Linked DNA regions of Mus musculus. The protein of the gene in region 2 purifies or fractionates together with the protein of the main gene of each other region. This does not show direct contact. Links are inferred from orthologs where the notes say so. Each region holds a gene or a part of one and is shown on either strand. Other genes may lie near its edges.

Evidence for each region.
Region 1: the proteins of Eif3g (region 2) and Eif5 purify together in Homo sapiens (affinity purification with western blotting; 3 studies listed by BioGRID and IntAct, with this or other methods). This does not show direct contact. The link is inferred for Mus musculus from reciprocal best matches to the Homo sapiens genes EIF3G and EIF5.

The regions. Positions count from the first base shown.
Region 1 is NC_000078.6:111,536,607-111,540,900, forward strand, and holds the start of Eif5 (eukaryotic translation initiation factor 5), read left to right. Parts: upstream 1-1,494; 5' UTR 1,495-1,633; intron 1,634-1,748; 5' UTR 1,749-1,942; intron 1,943-2,801; 5' UTR 2,802-3,009; coding exon 3,010-3,081; intron 3,082-3,194; coding exon 3,195-3,276; intron 3,277-3,523; coding exon 3,524-3,696; intron 3,697-3,854; coding exon 3,855-3,966; intron 3,967-4,294.
Region 2 is NC_000075.6:20,894,296-20,900,973, forward strand, and holds Eif3g (eukaryotic translation initiation factor 3 subunit G), read right to left. Parts: upstream 4,296-6,678; 5' UTR 4,269-4,295; coding exon 4,249-4,268; intron 4,130-4,248; coding exon 4,083-4,129; intron 3,873-4,082; coding exon 3,789-3,872; intron 3,682-3,788; coding exon 3,593-3,681; intron 3,472-3,592; coding exon 3,412-3,471; intron 1,926-3,411; coding exon 1,821-1,925; intron 1,723-1,820; coding exon 1,533-1,722; intron 902-1,532; coding exon 794-901; intron 675-793; coding exon 538-674; intron 445-537; coding exon 338-444; intron 148-337; coding exon 132-147; 3' UTR 54-131; downstream 1-53. UniProt on the Homo sapiens protein: RNA-binding component of the eukaryotic translation initiation factor 3 (eIF-3) complex, which is required for several steps in the initiation of protein synthesis.

The DNA.
Region 1 (4,294 bases), on a different chromosome or scaffold from region 2:
TGGAACTTGTTATATAGGCTAGGCTAGCCTGCCTCTGCCTCTGGAGTGCTAGGATTAAAGGTGTCAGCACCCCTGGCTCCTACAAACTTTTAAAATGAAGTTAAACATCAGGCCATCGAACATACAGAAAAGACCACTTTGTATAGTGTTACCAAAAATACTTTTGTGAGACAAGCCTCTTACCTCGGACTGGTTTCACACCCTTTTCTGAGAGTTTCTAAAATATTGCCATTTGAGTTCAGCCAAGCAAAAACTCAATCTTTTCCAATACTGCCAAGTCATGATCCATGGCTCACAGAGGCACTGCCTGAGATCTTTCCACTTTAACGAGGGGGAACCTGGATAAGCACAGAGCCGTAAAAACTGTAGAGCCATGGACTGTGAAATAAAAGCTACAGAAGAGACACAAATCTTTCAGTTCTGCATCTTGTCTTTAGTCTCCCTCACGGACATGGTCAATTAGCTTTACAGAGCTTTTAAGTCATGGGGAAATAACCTTGGATTTGGGCAAAATAAAATTGATCTTTCCATTTTAACCTTGTTACAAATTCTACTGGCGTAGAACAAAGGGCAGCCCTTCTTCCACAACACTGCTCTTTCTCCCCATCCAGGAAACCAGGCAGCTGCTGACTAAGCCAGGCTGCTGCTCTCAGAAGCCCTGGGAAGGTGGAACAGGTATTTCTATATTATTAGTTGGACTCTGGGATGATTTCAACTCTCAGTCGAAACTTTTACCAAAAAAAGAAGTTTTTTTTTTCTTTTAAATAATGGAAGAGTGTCTAGGAAAGAAAAAGTCCGGGCTCCTCTTCCGAACATAAATTGTTAGTAAATAAAACACTGTTGCCTCCTCGGGTGCACCTGCAGGGAGTCACAGTCACCAACCAGCCTGGCCTTTACAGACCGGGCTGGGCTGGACGGGGTGGCCCTACGTGGCGACTGAGCCCCGAGGCGGGGGGATGGCCAAACCTCGAGGCACAGCCGGACCTGACTGGGGTCGAGACCACCCTAAGTTGCGCGGGGACCCAAGCTACACAAAAAAAGGTTTCTATCGTGGGAAACCTCAGAGCCACAACCGCGGAGTCTCGGCTCGGCGGCGGCTTGGCTCCCCGAGCTCAGGGAGAGGCACCATATGGGATGACAGGCACGGGCCAGGCAGCAGGAAGGGTGGTGGGAAAGAGGCAAGGGGAGCCGCAGTGTCGGGAGCCTCCTGGCGCGGTCCAGATGAGCAGTTAGATCACGCGTGGCCCACAGAGAAGCACCGTGGACATAGCCGGCCCGGCCCCGCCCCGAGAGAGGACTAGGCAGGCGCCATAGTGCCTGAACGCATAAACTCAGAGCGAGCCGGGCTATCGCGAGACCGCGAAGGCCTCTGGGAAGGACGGAGTTGGGGGGGGGAAGGGAAGGGAAGGAAGCTGGGACAGGCAGGAGGCGGGCCGAGACCACGAGTGGAGCCCCAGGAAGTGGAGGGCGGAGAAGCGTGAGATCGACGTGCATGCGAGCCAATGACAAGAGAAGTTGGGAGGGCCTGCGGCCAATAAGCGGTGGCTGCCCGGTACAAGGGGCGGGCTCCGGGGCCGAGGGTAGCTTGAGCGCGGCGGCGGCGTTGTTCAGTCAGAGCGAGAACATTCCAGAGGTGAGTCCGCGGGGGGCGGTGGCCCGCGCCCCTGCCCTGCGCTCCCGCCCCTCCACCCCGCGGGCCGCCGGCGGGGGCAGGCGCCGCCCGCCGCTCACTGCCTTGTCCCCGCCAGGTCGCCAGGCTCGGCGCTGCTGGTGTGGACGCGGACGTCGCTGGGACAGTCCCTCCCGCTGCTCGGCGGCGGCACCTGCCCAGCCGCCCCTCCGCTCGCCGCCGGCCCCGCCGCTCCGGACCCGGTTTCCAGCGCCTCTTCCTCCCAGTCCCGGGCGAGCCGCGTTGGGTTTATGTCTTTATTTGACGAAAACGGTGAGTCGCGGGCGGCGGGCCATGGCGGCGGCAAGATGGCGGCGCGGCCGCGTGACCCGCCGCGCGTGTGGCGCAGTTTGGGGGGGGCCGGGCCGTGCGGGAGCGCGCCCGCGCGCGCGCCGTGGCTGAGTCAGGCCCGGGGCGCGTTTGTGACTCAGGGAGGCCGCACCTCTGCCCCGCCGGCCGCCGGAAGGGGGAGGCCGGGCGACGGGCTGCGACCGTCGCGTAGCCATGGGGACGAGGGCGAAGGTCGGCCGTGCGCCGAGGGAGCGAGGGGAGGGAGCCCGGGCGCGGCTTCGGCCGTGGTCCTCGTGCTCCGACGGAGCCAATGGCTCCCAGCCTGGACTTGCCGCCCTGAAGCCCCCGGAGTCGCCGAAGCCGCCCCTCGGCGGTTGGCAGGTCCGGCTCGACGTTTCCCGTTTTACCACGATGGCAGCCGGGGGAGGCGCCATCGGCGAAGTTGGTGGCCCCCGGGCCTGAAGTGAGGGAGAGAAAGGGCCCGGATCCCCTTTTCGGCAGTTACAACGCTGTCGCTCGGCCGGGGCAACCCATGACTCGCCGGTGGCCTTTGATGTGACAATCTCCCGGCGGCTGAGGGAGCAGGGTTTGTGTTCCGTGTTGTCCTCCTCGTTTCGAGCAGTTTCCCTGCCAGTCACAACCCGTGTCAAAATGGTGGCCTCCTGGGTTCCTGGAGTTGTGCTTTGTTACATGGGGATGTCAGCTGTTTTCTCACAAGGACTCGGGCTGTTAGAGCTCGGAGTGTTAGTTGTGTGAGGGACTCGGGGACGGGAAGTTGTCCCGGGGAGGAGTGATGCTAAACCTGTAGGGTTGTTGTGTGTTTTCTCCTTTTCTCTTTCAGAGCTGTTGCGCAGCCATTGGTACCTGTATTGGGGAAACATAGCATACAAGCAAGAAGCTTACAGCCTCAGTGGCGAAAATTTTTTCATGTCAGAGACCGAGAACTCTTGCAGTCGTTTATGTCATCCCTTCTTCTCCAGACAGAAGATACCAAAAAGTTGCAATCAAAGATCTCTTCATCTTATTGATAAAGTCACTAATAAGCCAAAATGTCTGTCAACGTCAACCGCAGCGTGTCAGACCAGTTCTATCGCTACAAGATGCCCCGTTTGATTGCTAAGGTAATGCTGGTTTTTATTTTAGTAGCCTGTTGGTCCGCACACTCTTGATAGGTTTTGAAAGATTACATTTCACAGGGAAGACAGTGCAAAATTGAAATTCTTATTTCCTTTAGGTTGAGGGCAAAGGAAATGGAATCAAGACAGTTATAGTCAACATGGTTGACGTTGCAAAGGCGCTTAATCGGCCTCCAACGTGTAAGTAAAGCTTGGAGAAGCCTGAAAAGGTATATTATGGCTATAGTTTTTACAGTCTTTGAGCTATACATCTTTCCTCAATCATGTTAATTAGCAAGTTGGAACTGCGGACCTACTTGATTGGGTGTCATTAAGCCACCCTGGCTGTATTTCAGTTTCCCTGTAATTTTAACACGGTGAGTTTTTGTATATTCACGTGCAACCAGTGCTTTAGTTAACTATAATGGAATGTCTTGTCTTTATACAGATCCCACCAAATATTTTGGTTGTGAGCTGGGAGCACAGACCCAGTTTGATGTTAAGAATGACCGTTACATTGTCAATGGATCTCATGAGGCGAATAAGCTGCAAGACATGTTGGATGGATTCATTAAAAAATTTGTTCTCTGTCCTGAGTGTGAGAATCCTGAAACAGATCTGGTGAGTGCCTTTTAGGTTTTTTTTCAAGACTATCATGAAGAAAATTGGGTTAAATTAGTACTTTAGATGTCTTCTGGCACTTTTATAATGTAACAAAAACTTCTATCCACTTTTCCTTTTTGGCTGTAGATGACACTTGTTTTTACTTTCCTTAATAGCATGTCAATCCAAAGAAGCAAACAATAGGTAATTCTTGTAAAGCCTGTGGGTACCGAGGCATGCTTGACACACATCATAAACTCTGTACATTCATTCTCAAAAACCCACCTGGTAAGTCTTTTTAATAAATTGACTAGTAGAATAAAAGAAGATTTTTTTTTCTGTTGTTGCTATATAAGAATACACTATGAGCTCATAAGTGAATTTTATTGTTTGTTTGTGCATGGGGTTTTTGAAGACAGGATTTTTCTGTAGCTCTGGCTATCCCAGACCTCTGAATCAGGCTGCCCTCTGCATCTAAAAGGGATTAAAGGCATTCACCACCATGCCTAGCTCTGGACTTTGTGACTTTGACTGTAAGACATTGGAAAATGTCCTGTTTTATGTAGCAATAAGGGTGAAAAATGGCTGCTAAACCAGATGTCTGTTGTTAAGAGTC
Region 2 (6,678 bases):
CCCCACTCCCCTCCCGGCCCCAAAGGGAGACCCAGAAAATAAGCAGGACAAAGTGCATTTGGAGTCTGTTTACTGAAGCTTTCTGTCTGTCCTGAGGGGCTGGACAACAGCAGCAGGTAGCAGATGTCTTATTAATTCGTTGATGGCCTGGAAAGAGGGAGGGAAAGAGGTGGTAAGGATGCTGGTGGGGACTTGTGATCCTGAAGGGGATCGGAGAGAGACTGCACTCACATCAGGGAACCCTTGGCCTGGTCTGCTCAGGACCTTCCTCCAGACAGGCCTGGCAACCACAGGACTGGGCTAGGGAGAAGGTGGAAAGGGGCAGGAGGGTCCTTACTTGGCCCACTCGACATTGAGGATAAGATGGTCGTAGCCAAAACCAGACACCCCTGCAATGGCACGTGCAGCATCCTCCCGGCGGTGAAAGCTGATAAAAGCAAAACCCTGCGGGCCAGGGGCAGACATGGAGGTGTAAGAAGTGGGTCAAGGGATGCCTACTCCAGCTACCCACTCCACTCCTCAGACCAGCTCACCCACCTTGGACTGCCCAGTAGTCTTGTCCTTGGCCAAGTAGATTCGGGAGATGGAGCCGAAAGGCCGGAAGAGTTCCTGCAAGTCAGTCTCACGAGTGTCCTCGGACAGGTTAGTGACACGGATGGTGGCATTGTCGTCAGCTTTGTGGGCAGGGCAGGGGGAGATGGCAGTGAGAAGGGTGCCACCGCTGGACCCCACGCCCACACTGCAGGAGTACTCACAGCCCTTGCCTCCGGGGGCGGGCCTCCCACCTCCTCACCTCTGCGGTTTGGCTGCATGGACTCCCCACGGCGGCTGGCCCCGTCCCGGAGGCTGGGGGGCACATACTTCCCTGTCTTGCTCTGGGCGGCCTGCACGGGCTCCAGCTCTGGAAAGCAGCAGACGGAAGGATTATTCTGCCCCAGCCCCCAGGTACAGACACCCAGTCATCCTTTGGTGACCCAAACATCACATCTAGGAAGCTACCACTCTTCAAAGTCTCTGCTAGTGTCACGAGCAAAGTGAACAAGCCACAGGGCAGACACAACAAAGCCAGCACTGCAGAGCCCCAGCGCTGGACACCACCAGCCCGGCAGCATCCCGACTACAGGCACACAACAGTGAGGATGTCCCTAGGCCACTCATCCATGACAGTGAGAAGCAAAGTTCCATACAAGTCACAAGAGGCAGCCACCCCCACAGGACACATTAGATTATGGCCACACTGAGCCCAGCACATACATGGTGGATGTTGCCTGAGTATATACGTGTATACACACACACACACACACTGCGTATATATGTACACACACACACACACACATACACACACACACACACAGAGTATATATGTACACGCACGCATGCACGCACGCATACCCAAGTTAGAGTAAGCTATCAGTCACACATCAGGATGACCATGCCCGAAGCCACTCAAACTTGGCCACAGGTAATGCAGGGAAGAGAAGAGCACACTACCACAGAACAGCTGAGACCCTCCCAGGTCCCCACGTCCACACCTCCTGGCAGTTTCTCCTTCTCCCCAGTAGACAGGCCGAGCTGCTCAGCCAGCTCCTTCTGCATGGGTCCTAGTGTGTCCTTGTAGGGGCAACGGGTGGTCCAATGGTCGCCCTTGCAAATGCGGCAGGACACAATCTTCTGGCCCTTAAGCTTGTTCATTGGGTCCTCCTCCTCCTGACAGTTTAGGTCCTGGTGGGGTATAGGGAGGGAAGGCTCAGAGGAGGCTGCTGGGCCCGGCCCACACCACCCCCACTGCATTTCTCAGGCTCCAGCTTCACCCAGCTCACCTCTTTGCTAGTGATGAATGTCATAGAGACGTCATCACTGACTGTGGTAGTGGCCACATTGGGCCCCGGTGGGTCAAACTCCGAGTTGCCAAACTTCTTCCAATTCTGGGCTCCCAGAAAACAATGGGGAGAAGTGAGGAAAAGACAGGAAGGATCCTGCAGTGGGTACCCCAGACAGACAACCATTCCGGGGCCTTGAATCCGAAGATCTAGTCTCTCTAGAGGCCTTCCCTGTGGTAATGGTGACAATCCCCATTCCCTAAGCTAAACACAGTGGCACACAACTGTCACCCCAACACTTGCCAGGTGCAAACAGGAGGACCTCAAGACACGCAAGCTCAAAACCAGCCTGAGTTATCTGAGGTAGGTGCTGGTAAGGTAGCTCGTGTGAAAACGTGCAGTACACTTTCTAACACTCATATAAAAGGTTAAGTACATGCTGGGCATGGTGGCGCACGCTTTTAATCCCAGCCCTTGGGAGGGAGGCAGAGGCAGGCAGATTTCTGAGTTCGAGGCCAGCCTGGTCTACAGAGTGAGTTCCAGGACAGCTAGGGCTATACAGAGAAACCCTGTCTTGAGAAAAAAAAAAAAAAAAAAGGTTGAGTACAGGGCTCCACTGTGCCGCTGGCAGTTTCTGGGCTGCTCCATGGCCAGCCTCCCACCAGGGACAAAGGAGGAATCACCCAGACCTTAGGAACCGAGCCAGTTAAACCTGAAACTCATTTCCTGCCTGTAAAACAGGGGCCACAAAGCTCCCTGCCTCCCTAAGCTGGCCTGGAGCCTGAGAAGCTGTGTCTTGCTGAACGCTGGCACGGGACCTTGCTCTCAAGCGTCGCTGTCCCTCCTCTACAAGCCCTCCCCCCTAGGTAAGTAGAGGCTGCTTGCTTCTTCATGTAGACAGGTCAAAGGAGAGAGAATGGAGGTCAGGATGCAGGAGGCTGAGGCAGAAGCATTTAGAATGAAGACCAGAGCTAGAGCCTCTCAAAAATAACAAGCCAGCAAATGGTGGCAATGCCTTTAATCCTAATGCATGTGGATCTATGAGTTCAAGGTCAGCCTAGACCACAGAGTGAGTTCAGAACAGCTAGGGCTACACAGAGAAACCCTGTCTGGAAAAACAAACTACAAACAATAAAACCCAAGAGGGCTGGGTATGTCTCAGTACAGTGTCTGTCACACAAGTGTCCGTCAGACTCTGACCCCGAGCACCCACAGTCAAACACTGTGCACAGAGGCAAACTTGCATTCCCGGTGCAGGCCAGACAGGAAGTGGGGACAGCAGGGTCCCTGGGGCTGTTAGTGCCCAGCAAGCCTAGTCTAGTTCCTAATACCGAGAGACCAGCTCAAACCAAAAGTATGCTGTGCCATGTGCTGGGGGGGATGATGCTGCGCACATCCGCACACAAAAGGAGAACAATAAAAAAACAAAAGTAAATGAATAAATAAAGCATCTAACTTCATCTACTCCTGGGCCCTAACCTTTCAAGGCCTAACACTAAACGTTTACTCCACATCAACAAAAAGGGGCTTCCCAACTCCTCAGGATCAGCCCCAGAGAACACCCTACCCCCCAAATGAGGTAGAATCTCACCTTCCTCCTTGCCACAGCCTTTGATGCCTTCCGGGTCTCAATCCTGAAGGTTCTGACAATCTGAAGATGAATAAGAGAGGAGTGCTTCCAGAGCCTCAGGCCCTGTCTCAGCCACTGACACCCCTCCACCTGAACCCCTGAACACAAAGGCACTGGCCCTATGTGTCCACTTCGACCTCACCTTGAATTTCTTCCCATCTTCCTCTATCTTGTACTCAGTCACTGTCTTTATGTTCCCATTGATGACTTCCTTGGGAGGTGGCAGCGGGTCTGGAGGAAGATGACAGAAACTGATTCCCGGGTAATGGGGACTGGCTGGAAAGTAGGCTTGAGAGTCGGAAGGGAAGAGGAAGCAGGCAGGGATGGACACTGCTCACCTCCGGGCAGTAACTCGGGCTCTGGACTGGTGTCCCCGGTGGGCAGAGGGATTCCTTTCAGGAGCTCGCTGGTGACACATTTGTCTGCCAGAGGGAATTCGGGGAGGAAGGTAGAGTGAGCCACGGGACGGGAACTTTCAAGTCAGAGAGAGAGTGTGTGTGTGTGTGTGTTGTGTGTTTGCGGGTTGCACCGGGGGCACAGCGCAGGGCGAGGGTGGGGCTGGCCACGCGCGGCCCTAGCCGGAGCGTGGGCCCCGGGAACAGGCAGCGGGCGCGGCCACGCTCGGCACTCACCGTCCTCTCCCTCCTCCTCCACCTGGTCGGCCCAGCTGGGCTTCGAGCTGCGGGGACAGGAGATTGGTGAGCGGGTCCCGGCCCCCCGCGCCGCCCAGACCCCCACGCACCCCAGAGCAGCCCCCACGCGGCCTCCCCGGCGACCCCATCGCCACCCCACGCATACTCAAAGTCGCCAGTCGGCATCTCGAAGTCTTAACTCCACGCAGCTCCCAGCCCGGGTAAAGACAGGAAGCCGGAGTAGAAGAGGCTTCCGGTGCCGCGGCCGCAGCCTAGAGCGGCCAGACCGCGGTGAGCACAGCGCCTCCCTGCGGACAAAGGTGGACACGCGGCTCTCGCGCACCGCAAAGCGCTGAGATCCAACCTGGAAAAGGGGTCCAAAAAAAAGCTTCAAAGAACTTTTTAAACTTTTTTTTTCCCCCTTTGGGTAATGGGGCTAGACGTGAGTGTCTCACTCTATAGATAGGATAGCCTCACAATCCTGTCTCAACTCCAAAAGGCTGAAAGTACAGGCTCACGAGCAGTATTCCCAGGGTGGCCTTGAATTCATAGCTGTCTTTCCACCTTACTCTCGTCCGTGCTGGGAATATGAACATGAAATCGCCACACCCGGAACTGATTCGTTCTCTCCCTCTTCCCGGAGAATTAGTTTTCAGCCATCAGTAATCGCAGTGCTGGAGGTGGAAGCTGGAAAATTATGAGTTAAAGGCCATTTTCAGCTACCTCGTGGATTCCAGACTAGCCTGCGCTCCATGCGACTCTGTCTCCAAAACTAAAGGTGTCTTGCTTTGTTCCCCAGGCTTGCCCCTGAACTCCTAAACGCAAGGAATTCACAAATAGCTGGGGCTATAATTGTGTGCCAACAAGCTTGGCTGAAAAGCACGTGTATCAAGAATGCCCTCGCCCCACATCGTTTAGAGGATACCAGGATTCTGGTTTGTTGAAGAAGAAACAGACTCAGACCAAACCCTTTTGTCCTGTGCTAAGACGTCCTTTCTTTGAATAAGAGGCCACCTGGTCTCCTGTGCCTCCTTTGCTGTGTAGCATGCTAGGGTTTATCCTACAACCTTGTTGTGCGTTTGTATTATTTGAAGACAGCATGCTTGTGCATACATAGCACACATGGAGGTCAGGGGACACTTTGCAGACAGTCTCTCCTTCCACTATGTGGGTCTTGGGATTGATCTCAGGCCTTCAGGCTTGGCAGCCAGCCTCCTGCTGTGGTCCAGGAGTCCCCTCACAGACCACACGAGCCCCAGTCTCAGTCAGAGAGAGGCACTTTATTGAGCATACATGTCAGGACTGGTTAACCAGGGCCACAGTCCAGATTCAGGACCTGAACTGTGACCCTGACTTAAGATCCTGCAGGGTTTTTAAGCCTCAAATCCACAAACATCTGGGCCAAGTCACATCACCAATCAGGATTCAGAAATGGGGGGTTTACCTGGGAACATGGTTTTGCCTTACACGTATCCTGCTCCCATTGGTTGGGTATTCAACGGTGGCAAGAGACTTTCCTTGTTGAACATTCATGTCTCAATGTGCCAACCAGGTTGTCAGTTACCCACGCACATGTCTTTCTGCCAAGTAGGATGCCAGTTTCCAGGGAGGTCTTGGGAACTTAAACTTTACTCAGTCATTACTCAAAATGGAAGTCTTATTCCAAAGGGTTTCTTATATTGGTGCAGTTCTCTCTCTCATCTATTTATTTTATTTATATAAACTTGAGCTGTCTGAAGACACACCAGAAGAGGGCATCAAATCCTATTACAGATGGTTGTGAGCCACCATGTGGTTGCTGGGAATTGAACTCAGGACCTCTAGAAGAGCTCTTAACCACTGAGCCATCTCTCCAGGCCAGAGATTTCTCTCTTATGTTGGAGTCCATCCCAGGGACAGCTTATACAGACAAATACCATAAAAATTTATATATGGCTAGTAAGTGCTGCTGGGTGGTTGGTTCAGGTCAAAGCTTATTATGGGTAACTATTCAAAAAAGTTCTACTAACTTCTATCATGATTGGTTTCCAAGGGCACAGGGCATAACAGAATATGTAATCAGTTTTGGCATTAGAAAGTTTCCTAGTAACAGCAGAAACATATGAGAAAGTTTCCTTATAATGGTAGGCTAGCCAAGTAGGCTACCTAGGCCTTGACATTTTATCTAGGCCTTAATATTTTACCTAGGTCCCAGTACCTCCTTAGCTGCAAAAACGTTGCAAGCTCTATTCCTGCCACCTTAAACTCTCTCCAGTGCTAAGCTCCTGTCAAGTAAGTGGAGGTTATATCAGATTCTCTGCCGTAGGAACATCCACTCCAAGTCCATGTGTCTGTTTGGGATGCTGGTGGGGAACGGAAAGCAGGGAGTTGGGCACACTAATACTGACCTATACTCCTAACACTTAGAACTTGTATCTTAAGCTGGCAAGATGGCTCAGTGGGTGAAGGCACTCTCCACAAGCCTGCTGCCTGGAGTTCAACCCTAGGACCCATCTGAGGGAAGGAGAGGACTAACTCTAGCAGGTTGTACCCTGAGCCCCACACTTATGCTGTGGCCTGTTCTCACACACTGCATCGTAGTGGGACCCCTGTAGAA